Nothobranchius furzeri: one gene and its partners. The protein of the gene in region 1 binds, or shares a complex with, the protein of each later gene. Links are inferred from orthologs where the notes say so. Each region holds a gene or a part of one and is shown in the gene's direction. Other genes may lie near its edges.

Region 1 (4,043 bases):
GGTTGCAGATTAATTTGCCACACCATTTTCAAGACGGACCTTTCAAGAAAAAGTGGATCTTGTGAGAACAGGTCGTCCGACTCCAACGCTAGCTGGCTTGTCCCAGCAGGGGAAAGGATTTGTTCGTCATTTTCAGGCAAGCAACTATGAACGGTACCCATGGCAAACAGCTTCAGAGAACCGCTGCAGGTTATTCTGCTGGGAATGCCCGTTGCTCGCATCAGATGGATTTGGTAGCATTAAAGCGCGTTAAAACGCGTACGCCAGAAACACGACCGGGCAGACATGTCTTTCAGCATTAGCCTCCATGTCCATAGAAAAGGATCCACTCATGGACCTGAAGCGCACAGATAAACTGTACAGAGCCATTGAGGTTTCCCTGAGGAAAGAAAGGATGGATTTTATTTTCTAATGAGCAGGAGAGGAGGAGAACCATGCTGGACATTTATGTTGGTGAGTAGAAACATTTTATTAGTATTTTTTACTGTTTTGTCATTTTATTTTGTTAATAATCAATAAATGGTAACGAAATAAAATGGCAAAATGAAATTATTCTGTGTTCTGTTTCTATGCAATTTATATTGTGAATGACGTGGTGTGTGCAGCTGCGCCAACATGTTCAATTGTTTCGCGGTGCCATTTTCTCCAAAACAAATGCAAATAATGTGTTTGCTTTACTTATTTATTTTATTGTCTCATCTCTTAAACCCGTCTTTCATTTCTGAGATTTGACGGTATCCGTGGTCAGCTTCCTACTCTCAACTGGGAATGCGAGTTTGATTTTAAAGACTCTGGAAATTATGTGTCTTGACCAGCCACTGGTGTGTGTGTGTGTGTGTGTGTGTGTGTGTGTGTGTGTGTGTGTGTGTGTGTGTGTGTGTGTGTGTGTGTGTGTGTGTGTGTGTGTGTGTGTGTGTGTGAGGTTTCTCCAGCTGTGATGTCCTATTGATGGTATTTTAGGTGTATTAAATTAGATTGGACTGAATAGGAAATCACTGAAGGCCCAGGGGTGGAACGCACCGCCCGCAACTGAAAAAAAAAAAAAAAAAAATATATATATATATATATATATATGAAACAATAATTAACTGAATAATAAACTGAATAACTGAATAAATAAACTGAATAAATAAAATTTAACTGAATAAATAAAAACGACATGTAAACTACAGCCATGGCTATTATGAGGTCAATGCTAGCAGAATCACTTTGGTTGGGTCGGTGTGTCTTGATGGGACTTGTAGTTTTTAAAGCTGCCTCTTACGTCAGCGGAAGTGATTTGAGCGTATGTGCACTAGGTCACATTGGTTCGGTTTTGTAATGTTTTGAGAAACTCCACCGAATAATGGAGGCTACGAACACAGGTAATGGGCGTTAGACTCACCTTTGATGCTGCGGGTGTTTTATAATCGTAATGGTTGCTAGGTAGTTACGTTAGCTCGTGCGTAATTGTAAGCAGAAATAGGTGAAACTGGCTCTAAGTGGTGAAGTAGTCCATCCATGCTGTAGTACATGACAACTCTGTCCACTTATGTGCATTAAGTTGTTTAGTCGTTCGCTGCTGCTTATGAATCTACATATTTAATAGTCACTGATAATAACCGTATGGATACATCAGTGCAGCTGATAATAAAGAGAAACGGTAACTTTGGGTCTTTTCTCCTTAGAGGAAATCCATCTAAGGCATGTGGAGAAGGACGTGCTGATTCCCAAGATGATGAGGGAGAAAGCTAAGGAGCGCTGTGCGGACAAGGTTGAAGGTCTGTGTTTAGGAGTAGGCTATGAAAAATGAACTGATAACATCATCATGTCGAACCGCAACAGTCTGTAGAAAGTTGGAATTTGTAGGCCCAAAAAATGTATTTTCTCACCTTTTTACTCTCAGGGCAAAGGGAATGCTGCAAAATGAACAAACTATTTTACAAGGCAAGGCAGTACTTGAGAACTCCTGCAGCACATGCTAGCTGCCATTAGGTTAGTGTCCTGTTCATATTCATGTGTCCATTGGCTTAATCTGCATCAGTTATTTTTCCAAAATGTTGGACCACAGTAATTTTGTTCACAAGTGTGTTTTAAAACTCACTTGCAGACTACATATGGTGCACATGGTTCTTTGTAGGTTTTCATGGACAAAAATATAATTTGTGCTTCTCCATTATTTTTGTGAAGTCTTAAACTGGGTTTGCTGACATGTTGTTTGGACACAGCCCTAATAAATGTGCCATCGAACATCCCAAGTTCTTGCTAATGCGTGAGACAGATATGCCAAGAGACTAACTGTTAGAACTAACATCAATAAAATAACAGTTTTCTGTAACTACATACACAATACTGCATCATACACAACACATTGTATGTTATCAAATGAATTTATAGTTCTGATGTTCTAAAAGTCTAAAATCTACACAATCCACACATACTTTTTTAGATTTACTATTGTTCCTACTGTTTTTGAATCGCTCAGAGTAGATCATGTTGAAGTTTTTAAGTGTATTTATAGTTTTCTTTGTTTAGATGGAAGCAATTATTGACCCAACAATTGTTCCAGAAAAATAAAATACTTTTTGGGGCTAAAATCCAGCAGTCTTTAAATAGAATAAATTCAGAGGATTTCCCTGAATAATGAATGTCTTATTGGGTAAATCTGGTGACTAAAATGACAACATTTAAAGTCTAAATGTGATGCACAGGGTTGATTTTGTATTAGCTGATCTGTGTATTAGTTTTTTATTAATCAGGTCATTATCTTTCTTGTAAAATGGGTTTATGCTCATTTATTGAATATCCCTTTAATCCTGTGTACATGCATGCTCTTTATTTCTTTGCTTTAAAGGTGTTATAGACTTTAAAACCACTTGAAGTGTCTATTGTAGCTTACCAGGAAGTCTGTGCCATCACCGGCCTGCTTTCCTATGAAAATTAGTAATGTTGCAATTAGGGCTGCCACAAAGGACTATTTTAGTAGTCGACTAGTCGCAAGTTTTGTTGACAATTAGTAGACTAATCGTGTCATTCATAAAAGTTCAGTTCATTGCACCAGGAAGCTCTAATATATCCCATCATTAGCTTCTAGTGTGAAGTGTGATCAGCTTAATTAACTTTGTAACGTGTTTAAACAAATGCCACAGTCAGATGGAGGTAGGCACCTAAACCAAAAATTAATTGTACACAAAAAGACTTGTGTTCACAAGAGGCATGGTGGCAAGGTTGAAGCGCTTCATCTTCCAATCTTAACTCAGGAAAAGACAGGAAACACCAAGGTACGCCTCTGTAGCATGGCTGGTCCACATGTCAGCAGTCAGGGACCGTCGACAGCTCTGATAGTCTGCTTTACCGTAAAGATAAGATATTAAAGTTAGTTTATTTACCAAATTAATAATTCTGTTATATCAAATAACGTAGGTTAACATTTAACACAAAGAAAATGTTTTATGCTTTAAAAAATATTAGTTTCTTGATTGTTCAGTCAGCAACCTTTTTCCTTTTATCATAAAATGCATTATTCTAATGTTTATTTTATTTGTGTCCAGAGCGAAACAGAGGCAAAGATGCATCACGCGTCGTGCACACACACACACACACACACACACACACACACACACACACACACACACACACACACACACACACACACACACACACACACACACACACACACACACACACACCTTAAAGGTTGTTTCATATTTCTTTTCCATCATGGTGGTGAAATGGGATCAGTCAGGTAGTAGTCGTGGTATCCTAGGTTGAGCTGCTTGATCATCTGAAACATTGATCAGCAACCATGGACAGGAGTCTCGTGACCATCATGCTCACAACGGCATCAGTCAGGACGTTGGCTTGCTGAGGTGTGCACGTAACAAACTCGTCCGTTGAAGAGGAGCACTTTTATTAACACTGTAACGTAGCGGGATAAAATGAATCATTAGTGTTTGTAATTAGAGCAAAAATACGTGACATACAAACGTGTTCTAAAGGTATCTAAAGGGATTCGCCACCGCTACTGGTGTTGCTACTCTTATGTTAGCAGCTAACAAGAGGCA
Region 2 (4,243 bases), on another chromosome or scaffold:
AAACGACAAGAGCTGCTGGTCATCAGAGCAGCATTCCTGTTGCATATGGATGATGCAACCAGTCACAACATGGAATGTTGAATTTCCAACTTCCTTACATTCTTGGAATGAAAAAAGGGCGCGACCACCACATAGTTCTGTCCTAACCTTTACTGGAACTGAAAGTGTTGAAAAGTAACCCAAACATAAAGATAAGTGCTCCGCAGAGGATAAAAGTGCATGAATTATTTAAAAACAAACAATGTAGTACCACTAAACTGCACCTCCCCACGGCTCACGCCCCCACTAGTTAAAGCAAACAGGGGCAAATGTATGTACCCATAAATAAAGATTGTCTTATTTTGGTGTTTTTGATTCAAGAAAACTAAAATGGGATCATAATGTGTGTCTTTCCTGGTAACTAAGCCCCCAAGAATGAAAATTTCAGCTGATATTTTCATTGATGAATGCAGACACAATCATCTGACTAAAGAACTGAGTTCTTACTTGTTTCTTTAGGGAGTCTGAGGCGACAGTGTCCCACCACAGGCGAAAGAACTCCTGTTCCACAGCGATGAACCTTCGATCTTTGTACTTTGACAGCTCCTGGGTCACACTGGTGTACACGTTAGCTGCATAGGCATGCATGCTCTCCTGCAAAACACACACACACACACACACACACACACACACACACACACACACACACACACACACACACACACACATACACACACGCACGCACGCACGCACGTTTAGAGGGGAAAACACACATATTCATTTGGAATTCAAGATCACCCTCCACTACCTGAATGGTGTAAACCCAGCCAACATCCATGTGACTGTGAGGAATGACAAACGTTTGAATGGGCTGATCCTCAGCTGTCGATTCATGTGAACAAAATAAACAAAAACACACAAAAACTGTAAAAAACATATTTTTTTCCATCCTGAAAATGAGAAAATTCGTTCGACAAAATCCACCAGCTTCACTTCCTTATCATGTTGTTGTTTAGAATGACTGGCATTTCATACGGAAGCCCTGGTAGCCCAAAAGAAGTGACGCGAGTGACGTTCAACACTGGTGTTACATTCAAATGCGCCCCCTATTGTGTTTAAATCATGCCCATGCTATTTCACACTTATATAGTTCAAAATAATTTTAAAAAACTGCTATAAGGAAAAATCTTCATAAGTTATTTTTAAACAAATTTTAGCAAGTAGCAAACTGAAATAAAACAAAAAAATCTCAGTGTTCAGTTGGATAATAAGCTCACACATATCAAATAAATGAACTTATCTCATATTGTCAAAGACAATTTTGTTCTTTGAAGCTAAAATGTGTAAAAGTTAGCAAGACGGAAAATATTTTGATGTCTAGTTTGGGAACATTTTCAGCGGACACATTTCTATGTAGAACATATCATGACGTAATGGCCGGAAGCTGTCGCTGTAAACGCAAGTAAACACGCTTGGAGGTGAGAGACCGCCTCTGATGTAAGAAAATGTCCAAAAACGCTAAAATAGTGTTAATATTCGGAGGCTTCGTTACGGCGGTGGCCGCTGCGTTTTACCCCATATTTTTTTATCCTCTAACACACAAAGACGATTACAGTAAGTGCTTATTTTCCAACACGAGCACTCAACTGCTTCATATTGTGTTTTAACTTGAAATCCAGCAATGCTAAATGTTGTTTGACACGATTGAAACGCTAGCTAACTTTAGCTTGTTTACCACTGACTTTCTATGACAGAGTTTTTAATCCCGTAGTGAAGAAATCAAACCAGCAAAAATAAAATAAAAATCTTAACCAACAAATATGTTTTAATATTAATCTTGTGTTCTGTGTTTCTGTGATTTTGCCAGGAGAAGTCCAAAAGGTAAACCGGGCAGGAATTAACCAGGCAGATGTGCAGCCAGTTGGTAAGAACTAATAATAAAACAAAAATCAGCAATAGTGATCGGCTGTTATCTGGGTCACTCCATTCCCTCAGACTCTACCCAGCTGTTGCCGCCATTACTTTCTGTTATTTATCTGTATATTCAGTGTTTTGATACAAAAAGTAGATTTATCTCCCATTTAATTAAATTCCAACCCTTAAATCACTTTCAGCTTTTTTCAACTAACAAAATCAATTTATTAAAATGTACCCTTAAAGCTCATTATCTTAAATTTTAATTATTATTTTTATTTATCTCACTTATCCGTGGGTCCAAGGCATTTTCTAGGACTGTAAGAAGTTCAACTTCTTTTTTGTAGAGCTCGTTCTGCCCTTCAGTTAGTCTTTCATAAAACTGCATTCATAAACTCTGTTTTTCTGTCAATAAGGGGTTCTGTGTGTACAATGAGAAAAAAATGAATGTATTGTTTTCCACAAAAACTGCAATATAAGAGGAAGAAGAAGAAAATATAATTTCTATAGTGCCTCTGAAGATAAAAATCATGAGGTGCTTCACATAAACAAAAAATGTAAAAATATCAAAAAGAATTTAGAAAATTGTTAAAATATATTTAAAATTAGCAAAAAAATAATAGACAATTGTGATTAGAAAATGTAAAGAGAGAGAGTGAATAGGAAAGAGGGAAATCAGTGGATCCTGAGGAAAGTGGAATAGGTGGGGAGAGCAGAATAAAGAGAGAGTGGTGAAGAAGGTCATGCAAAAGCCACTTTGAACAGCTGATTCTTCAGCTGCTTTTTGAAGGAGACCACTGAGTCCACTGATCTCAGGCTCAGGGGGAGAGAGTTCCAGAGTCTGGGGGGCCACAGCAGCAGATGATCTGTCACCTTTGGTCTTTAGCCTGGTGCTGCACAACCAGTAGGCTTTGATCACTGGCCTCAGGGACCTGCTGGGGGTGTAGGGACTAAGAAGATCACCAATGTAAGATGGTGCTTGTTCATGTAAGGCCCTGTAGACCTGAACCAGGATCTTGAAATGAACCCTGAAGTTGACTGGCAGCCAGTGAAGCTGGAGGAGAAGCGGGGTGATGTGGGTGTGTTTGGAGGACTTGGTCAGAAGCCGAGCACAGGCATTCTGAACCACCTGTAGACGGTTCAGGGAGGTTCTGCTCAGACACGTGAAAAGAGAGTTACAGTAGTCTAAGCGTGAGGAGATGAAGGTGGGGGTAACGATCTCAAGTTCAGAGTGGGACAGAATGGGACTCAGCTTAGCAACGTGCCTGAGATGGAAGAAGGAAGAGCGAACAAGAGAACTGACATGAGAATCCAGGGTGAGAGCTGGGTCAAAGGTCACGCCAAGATTCCTGACGGAAGGTTTGGTGTGGGAAGCAAGCTGACCAAGAGAGTCTCTGACTTTGGGAACCAGCTTGTCTGGGGCACAGATGAGGATATCAGTCTTATCTTCATTCAGCTGTAGAAAGCTCCCAGCCATCCAGGTTTTGATAGAGTCTAAGTAGGTGTGTAACATCTGCAGCTTAGACATCTCATGGGGCTTAAAGGAGATGTACAGCTGGATGTCATCTGCATAAAGATGGTAGGAGATTCCTTTGAAGGAGCTCAGGATGTGCTGAAGAGGAAGCAGATAGAAGAGGAAGAGCAGAGGCCCCAGCACAGAACCTTGTGGGACACCATGGGTAAGAGAGGTGGTGGAGGACCTAAACTTGGAGACGGCCACAGAGAAGGAGCGCTCAGAGAGATAAGAGCCACTCCAGAGCAGTTCCTTGATATAATAAAGTAGGGCTGCAACAACGAATCGATGAATTCGATGAAAATCGATTACTAAAAGCGTTGGCAACGAATTGCGTCATCGATTCGTTGTGTCGCACAACTCTTCCAAAAGCGCCCCCCCTTCCCGCCCACCGTTGCGCGCAGACAGATCAGCGCGAGAGAGAGCCGGCAGTTGTTTGGAAGAGGAACATGACAGAAGCAGCGAGAGTCAAAAAAGTAAAAGCTTTTTAAGTTTGGGAGCATTTTCAGTTAAATCAGGCGAAGACATGCGTTACCTGCAACGTTTAGGTCAGACTGGGATGCACGGGATGATGCAGCGTCTTAAACGCAAGCATGTCGGGATCATCAGCGAGGAAGGAGAGAACTCTGTGTCCGGGTAAATTAAAAACTTTTCAAAAGTGATTCATCCAAGTCCCGGATTATTACACAGGCTAGACATGCCCTAAATTCGTAAAAAAAGAGTCTAAAGTCGTGAGCGCGACGCTTATTAGATGAGCGGGGGGACTCGCACTGCTGCGAACCGGTTCCGCCCAAGGCCGGATTAACTGGGCAATTGCCCAGGGCCCACGAACTCTAA
Region 3 (3,213 bases), on another chromosome or scaffold:
GTCCTTGAAAGGGCTTGGAGTTCCTCCATCTTGTTGGCCAGTGATCTCACATTGCCCATTATGATCGATGGAAGAGATGGTTTGAATTTCCTCTTTCTCCATCTCCGTTTTGCTCCCGCTCTGCACCCACGCTTCTTGCGTTTTAGCTCATTTGGGATTTGTGGCTTCAGTTGAGGTATTATTTCAGCCTTTCCAATGTTAATCAGCTGCTATCGATTGTAAACCAGCTTGTTGCCATGGTTATGCATCATAACAAATGCTCAAAAAGTGAAAAAAGCTAAAAGAAATAGCAGTAAAAATCCTCCAAGCTTCACAGCACCAGAAACAGAAAAGTAAAGTGTCCAAAAAATACAGTTTTTCTTGAGAAACTATAAGAAAAAATGCCCAAGAAAAGACAAAACTTACATATAGTCAACAGAGCTACTCCAACATGCAGCCACCCAGAGCAGCGCAGTTCCGGAAAAGCCGCCGTTTGAAGCTCAGCTCTGATGTGGCTCACTTCTAGTTCCTGAAAATGGTGCGCCGGTGTTTTCTTTCCCCAGAGTATGACACACGAGATGTTTATTCCTACTAGAGACTACTGCAAATGTATTGATTAAATGAGGAAAGGGAAGAGGAGAATGGGGAACTGCACTTGTAAAGTTACAATAATTAGTACACTTCCTGTAAATTCTTCTCAGAAGTACCAGGATGTGAACGTTTCCTGCATCATGTAGATCGAACTCAGTCCTTCAGTCTATGGCTTTTAAGATTAAGGATATTTCCGTCCTCTGGAAGACAAAAACTGTTACTACAGTCAATGTTAATAAAGCTAAACAAGACCATACTCATTATTACTTCCTGTATGTTCTTTCAAAATAAAACATAGCATAGTTTAGTCCAGATAATGAGAAAGCCAGAACATCTTCTCTTATTCAAACTACTTAACTACTAAAACTCAATAAATATATCTAATGTATCTGTGTTTAACCAGATGGAATCAATGAGCTAAAGCAGGAAATATTAGCAGCTAGCTGAACATTTCAGATCTCTGCTCCATCTAACTTCTACTTACTGAAACAGAAGAGCAAATGTTTTACTTTTTTCTTCACAGAAAACGACTCACAAGGATTTACACAAGAGCCACCATAACAAATGGGGGGAAATGTTCCTGGTATTGCAAGCTTGTTGTTTCGTTTTTGTCCGGTAGGTGGAGGTAGTCCAAGCTGATTTGTTTACTCCTAATAAAGACAACAAAGAAGAAGCTACGCCATATTGGTGCGACCTAAACCAGCTTTGTTTGTGTGACATTAGCCGATTAATGTTCTATAATTAAACGTCACGGTGACATAATTATACACTATAGTAGGCCAGCCGCTGTAGTTTGTACTGCCGTTCACCTCAATGTGGGTTTATTGACAATAATGGCGTATCTTCACCCTTTAAAAGCCTTGTTACACCGAAGTCTGCAACACACAGCGGCAGCGCAAACATGTCAGTTGCGACTGTTAGCTCACGCGCGCAGGACTTTGTCCACAACACCAGGACTGGTCCTTCTCGGGACAGATAGTCCTCTGTCTGCGCTGAGTTGTCTCCGTGTGGCTGTGAGACCGCTCCACTGTTCAGCCAGAAACAGGAGCAGGCCAGAGGACGAGAACAAAGCGGCGGTGTCCAGGTATCAGCGCGCAAGCCCCAAAGCTTCAGCTTCCCAGAAGAGTAAGCTAATGCTAACGCTATGTTGCTATGCAGCACGGTACAAAATGCTGTAGGTTAGGGTTAGTTTATGCCAATTACTGCATGCTGTTGTTTACTAAAGTCTCATTGTGGGTGTCTTCCAGTAAAAGAAGCTGGTAAAGACTTCACCTACCTGATAGTTGTGATCATCGGACTGGGAGTGACAGGTGAGAGTAGCCAGACTGCAGAAACAAACGTGTGATTAGCAGCATATTTAATTTGATCTTACCCGCTGCTGTCAAAATAAATAAAAATGTGTGCGTTTGTGTTTAGGTGGACTGCTGTATGTGGTTTTCCAGGAGCTGTTTTCGTCCAAAAGCCCAAATAAAGTCTACGCAAAAGCTTTTGATAAAGTCAGGTCACACCCAGAGGTGAGAATGACAAATGATTTACTCTTTTGGCTCTTTTCAGTATAAAGTTACATGCACGGTGCTGTTTTTGATTTGAAAGTGCAGGTAATCGGGGCATTTGGCGAGCCAATCAAGTGCTACGGTGAGACCACCCGCAGAGGAAGGAGGCAGCATCTCAGGTACAAACTAAACTAGGCATAAAACTGTGTTTATTTGGGATTATGCTGTTTTTTAATCTGTTTTTGTTTTCGCCTCAGTCATCTGGAGTATCTGAAGGATGGACTGAAGCACTTGAGACTGAAGTTTTACATTGAAGGCTCCGAGCCAGGCCTGAAAGGAACTGTTCATTCAGAGTCGAAGGAGGTGTGTAGGTTTCTGATCTGCTCACACAATATCCATTTTATAATAGCTGGTATCAAATACTAAGAGCTGAGAGGAAAACTGCATCCATTGTCTTTTGATTTGTTGTCTTTGGTTTCTTACTTCAGAACCCAGAAACGGGGAAATATGAATTTCGTTATATATTCGTGGATCTAGATACCTACCCCAAACGGAGCATCATCATAGAGGACAACAGATGAGAACCCCTGCTGTTCACAATCTGCATTATTTAAATAAACAAGGCACTGGTCACTGGATTACAATCTTGTCCTTTTTAATTTGAAACTAATGTGTTAAATGACTCAACAAAGTCCAGTTTGTGTCCCTGCTTTAGACCTTTTGACCCCTCTTTATTGCTGATCTGTCCTAAAGTGTCCTTCAGGGGGGCTTTCTTTTTAAATAAACGCGGACTCTTCTGCTTGACTAAATTAAAAATTTTGGGCATTTCTTTTTGCAACATTTATCTACTTTCAAAAAATAGATCCATCCATCCATTTTCATCCGCTTATCCGGAGTCGGGTCGCGGGGGCAGTAGCCTAAGGCGAGAGGCCCAGACTTCCCTCTCCCCAACCACTTTGGCCAGCTCCTCCGGGGGAATCCCAAGGCGTTCCCTGGCCAGGTGAGAGACATAGTCACTCCACCGTGTCCTGGGTCTACCTTTAGGTCTCCTCCCGGTTGTACGTGCCCGGAAAACCTCACCAGGGAGGCGTCCAGGAGGCATCCTGACCAGATACCCGAGCCACCTCAACTGGCTCCTCTCGATGTGGAG
Region 4 (4,157 bases), on another chromosome or scaffold:
ATTATTCTCATGTCATGTTGTATTTTCATATATTTATATTTTAGAGACGTTCTTGTCCGTGAAAAGTTTATCAGCTCTGCATCAGCCGAGGTATTCCTTAAATTTGAAGTGTCTAAGCGGCATTCTAACACTATTAGTTAGTTCTGGTCGCGCTCAGTTTCCTATTGCACGGAGCTCTGTCGGACAGGGGGCGTGCTCAACAAAAAAATTAATTAATTAATTAAAAAGACGTATTGCTTACATTATATCACAGTACATAAGATGATCACTTTTACGATTTTCTGACAAATCATACGTAATTTCTGAAAGAGGAAAACTCCGGAAAGCTGCTTTAACTAAGCCGACACCCTCATGAATCTGCAGTGTGTTGCTCACCTTTAGATGGTTGTGTTGTAGTGACAGTGGTGCTCTGAGTTTGTGATTTTGCTGCTGCAAGGCTTTTCTGAGCTCCTGGAGAAGACTTTTGTTGGTGTTTGGGAGGTTTCTTGGCTAATGCATCTGTAGAATTATTCTTTAATTTCTTCTTCTTCTTCTTTGAAGGATCGGTGTCACTCTTACTCTTGAAATGAACTAATGAAAAGAAACATGAGATAACAATTCCATGCTCAGATATGGTATAACAAGCTGATTCCAAAGACACGATGGAGCAAAGCCAGGTCAGATGAGATTCTGACCGTCACGTTTTATAAAAATAAAAATGATACCAAAAATAATCAAGTCTATCTGCTTTCTTTCATCTGGAGGGCAAGCAAAAAAAATTCTAACAGAAACAAAAATGTCTTGTGCAAAGAATAAGTTCAGATAAAATAGGCTAACTAATCTTTGCATCCATATATATATATATATATAATCTACTAAAAGAAAGAAAAACATTAGCATAAAAACATTTTCCAAAATATGGCTCTATAAATAATTCCAGTATGTTGTGTGTGGGAAAAAGCAAACATCTACAGCACGCAGAAAATAATGTAGCGCCCCCTTCCGGTGAGCTGTGTTTTAACAACTGAGGTTTGAAGACATTTCATGTTTTTTCCCACCTATCATCAGCCATACAAATATGTAGCGCGCTTTGATATTTAACACAGAAACGTGTACAGCTAAGTGTAAATATGCCAAGAGCAGTTCAATATTACCAAACGGTCTCTTCTTCGGCTCCTTCTCTCGCTGAGAAAATAGTTTACTTGCATATTTCTGAATGTACGAGTCTTTCGCTGCGAGGTCCATGTTCTCAGACTAATTACTTTCCGCAACTAAATCTGTTAAATTTACAATTAAATAATTTTGAGCTAAAAATCAGCTCATGGCTGCAAACACGTGCATAAGAAAACAAACGAGAAGAGGACTGTCTCCGTTGCACCGGAAGGTGTTACATTGAATTAGTCCCCCCGCAAGCCAAAACGACGGTTTTGTAAATAATTTATTTAGTCTCCCTTTTACGGTTTTTGTTTATTCAGGATGACTTCGCTCAAATTCCTGCTCACGTTTTCCACCAGGCTTTTCCCGACAACTAGGAAACAGGTTGGTTATAAGTTATAACTAATAAATTCAGTGTATTCGTCTTAACAGTCACCTAAAAAAGATTATATGCAAAAAAAATTTATTTTCGTTTCACGTGATTTCAGAATGTTATAAACATCAAGAGGACTTTCTTCCTGGACAGAATCATTAAACGTTCAGACGGTAGGTACAGTTGTTATATTAATACCGATGATCACCTGCTTTTAACTACCGGTAAATGTATTTTTATATTCATATTTAAGAAGTTAAACATGCATAAATACTGACCCACTCACCTGGATATTTTTAAGAAAATGAAAGTTGAAGAATTTGTTCCAAAAGGATATCTAAAATTTAATGTAGATTTTAAATATATAAGTACAGCACCTATAATATATAAGATACATAATATGTTAATGCTGTTACAATTTATTTTTCAGTATTACATGAAAGTGTGAAAAGTGCATCTATGAAGAATCAACCTGCAGTTTCTTATTTCCAGGCAGGTGCTTGGACTTCCAGCGGCTGTGCAGCTCTGCAGCAGCCAAGGCCGTGAAAAGCGAAGACTCTTTCCTCAAATGGTTCCTGCTGCTCATCCCCGTCACCACCTTTGGCCTCGGGACATGGCAGGTATGGCTTGTCTTCCATTATTCTGTTCTGAAATGATTTGTTTGATTTCCATTTTATTGACTGAAACAATATTGTTACTATGAAGGTTAAAAGACGGGAGTGGAAGTTAGGATTAATCAATGAGCTCCATAGACTGACCACAGCAGAGCCAATTCCTCTTCCTCCAGAGTGAGTAAACTCTTGTCTCTCTGACACGAATCATCATGAGCAGCTATTACCGCAGGTCGAATATAACATGGGGACAGCTGTGGAAAAAAAAAAAACCAATTTAAACAAATTCAGAACAAAGTCTCAAACCCCCTAGTCTGCAGACAGATGGCTGCTCATTCTGACCCAGGTTCTGCTAGAGGTTTCTTCCTGCTAAAGGGAGTTTTCCTCTCCACTGTCGCTACATGCTTGTTTAGTATGAGGATTGCTGTAAAGTCTCTGACTCAGCAAGTCAGTGACTTTATGCAATCTGCTGGGTTGAACTGAACTCAGTACACTGATATAAGTGGTTCAGTTGGGATGTTTCGTCTCGTCTTCTTCCACCTATCCGGGTCCGGGTCATGGGGGCAGCATCCCGACTAGGGAGTTCCAGACCATCCTCTCCTGGGCCACCTCCACCAGCTCCTCCGGTAGGACCCCAAGGCATTCCTGGGCCAATTTGCAGATGTACTTTCTCCTACATGTTTTGGGTCGACCAGTGGGCCTCCTACCGGCAGGACATGCCTGAAAAACCTCCCCGGGGAGGTGTCCAGAAGGCATCCTGTCTAGATGCCCAAACCTCCTCAACTGACTCCTCTCAATATGGAGGAGCAGCGGCTCTAGTCCGAGTCTCTCCCGAATGTCCGAACTCCTCACCCTACCCGTAAGGCTGAGCCCAGCCACCCCGAGGAGAAAACTAATTTTGGCCACTTGTATCCACGATCTTGTTCTTTTGGTCATTACCCAGACATCATATGACCATAGGCGAGGACAGGGCAGTAGATCAAATGGAAAATTAAATGTGATTATAACTGATAAAACAACAATAATAGCAACAATAAAGTACTACTAACAGACCGGTTAAGCGTCTGCATCACTGCAGAAGCTGCCCCAATCCGCCTGTCGGTCTCCCGCTTCCTCCTTCCCTCACTTGTGAACAAGACCCCGAGATACTTGAACTCCTCCACTTGAGGCAGGACCTCTCTCCCGACCCAGAGTTGGCAAACCGCTCTTTTCCGCTCGAGAACCATGGTCTCAGAATTGGAGGTGCTGATCCTCATCCCAGCCGCTTCACACTTGGCTGCGAACTTCCCCACCAAGAGCTGTAGGTCAGAACCTGATGAAACTAGGAGGACCACATCATCCGCATAAAGCAGAGAGGAGATTCTCCTGCCACCAAACTCCACACACTCCACACCACGGCTGCACCTAGAAATCCTGTCCATAAACGTTATGAACAGGACCGGTGACAAAGGGCAGCCCTGGTGGAGTCCAACCCTCACTGGGAACAGGTTTGACTTACTGCCTCACTCCTCTGGTACAGGGACTGAATGGCCCTTAGCAAAAGACCATCCACCCCATACTCCTGGAGTGCCCTCCACAGGGTGTCTCTGGGGACACGGTCATAAGCCTTCTTCAAGTCCACAAAACACATGTGGATTGGTTGGGCAAACTCCCATGACCCCTTAATCACCCTAGCAAGGGTAAAGAGGTGGTCCACAGTTCCATGGACAGGACAAAAACCACATTGCTCCTCCTCCTCTGAGGTTCAACTATCAACCGGACCCTCCTCTCCAGCACCCTGGAGTAGACCTTTCCCGGGAGGCTGAAGAGTGTAAACCCCCTATAGTTGGAACACACCCCCAGGTTCCCCTTGCCTCTGTCAGTCCGCCCCAGGGCAGCTGTGGCTACATCGTAGCCCATCACCATCAGTGTGTGAATGTGTGTGTGAATGGATGAATGATGCACTGTAGCGTAAAGCGCGTTGGAGTCCTTAGAAGCGCTATACAAGTGCGGGTCATTTATCATTGAAAAATTGGGACCACCACCCCGGTCTGCCACTC

Evidence for each region.
Region 2: cmc1 (region 1) and smim20 share a complex: the UniProt entries of both Homo sapiens proteins name them as parts of the MITRAC (mitochondrial translation regulation assembly intermediate of cytochrome c oxidase complex) complex. The link is inferred for Nothobranchius furzeri from reciprocal best matches to the Homo sapiens genes CMC1 and SMIM20.
Region 3: cmc1 (region 1) and timm21 share a complex: the UniProt entries of both Homo sapiens proteins name them as parts of the MITRAC (mitochondrial translation regulation assembly intermediate of cytochrome c oxidase complex) complex. The link is inferred for Nothobranchius furzeri from reciprocal best matches to the Homo sapiens genes CMC1 and TIMM21.
Region 4: cmc1 (region 1) and surf1 share a complex: the UniProt entries of both Homo sapiens proteins name them as parts of the MITRAC (mitochondrial translation regulation assembly intermediate of cytochrome c oxidase complex) complex. The link is inferred for Nothobranchius furzeri from reciprocal best matches to the Homo sapiens genes CMC1 and SURF1.

Annotation. Positions count from the first base shown.
Region 1 is NC_091745.1:45,960,919-45,964,961, reverse strand, and holds the start of cmc1 (COX assembly mitochondrial protein homolog), read left to right. Parts: upstream 1-1,214; 5' UTR 1,215-1,345; coding exon 1,346-1,364; intron 1,365-1,667; coding exon 1,668-1,760; intron 1,761-4,043. UniProt on the Homo sapiens protein: Component of the MITRAC (mitochondrial translation regulation assembly intermediate of cytochrome c oxidase complex) complex, that regulates cytochrome c oxidase assembly.
Region 2 is NC_091742.1:58,395,917-58,400,159, reverse strand, and holds the start of smim20 (small integral membrane protein 20), read left to right. Parts: upstream 1-1,391; 5' UTR 1,392-1,484; coding exon 1,485-1,593; intron 1,594-1,846; coding exon 1,847-1,903; intron 1,904-4,243. Other genes in the region: man2b2 (epididymis-specific alpha-mannosidase), read right to left, coding at 487-633, 788-928.
Region 3 is NC_091747.1:54,073,239-54,076,451, forward strand, and holds timm21 (mitochondrial import inner membrane translocase subunit Tim21), read left to right. Parts: upstream 1-1,214; 5' UTR 1,215-1,403; coding exon 1,404-1,695; intron 1,696-1,817; coding exon 1,818-1,880; intron 1,881-1,986; coding exon 1,987-2,084; intron 2,085-2,168; coding exon 2,169-2,242; intron 2,243-2,320; coding exon 2,321-2,426; intron 2,427-2,551; coding exon 2,552-2,644; 3' UTR 2,645-2,707; downstream 2,708-3,213. UniProt on the Homo sapiens protein: Participates in the translocation of transit peptide-containing proteins across the mitochondrial inner membrane.
Region 4 is NC_091746.1:62,108,757-62,112,913, reverse strand, and holds the start of surf1 (surfeit locus protein 1), read left to right. Parts: upstream 1-1,356; 5' UTR 1,357-1,455; coding exon 1,456-1,518; intron 1,519-1,622; coding exon 1,623-1,680; intron 1,681-1,999; coding exon 2,000-2,127; intron 2,128-2,212; coding exon 2,213-2,295; intron 2,296-4,157. Other genes in the region: surf6 (surfeit locus protein 6), read right to left, coding at 376-570, 1,134-1,224. UniProt on the Homo sapiens protein: Component of the MITRAC (mitochondrial translation regulation assembly intermediate of cytochrome c oxidase complex) complex, that regulates cytochrome c oxidase assembly.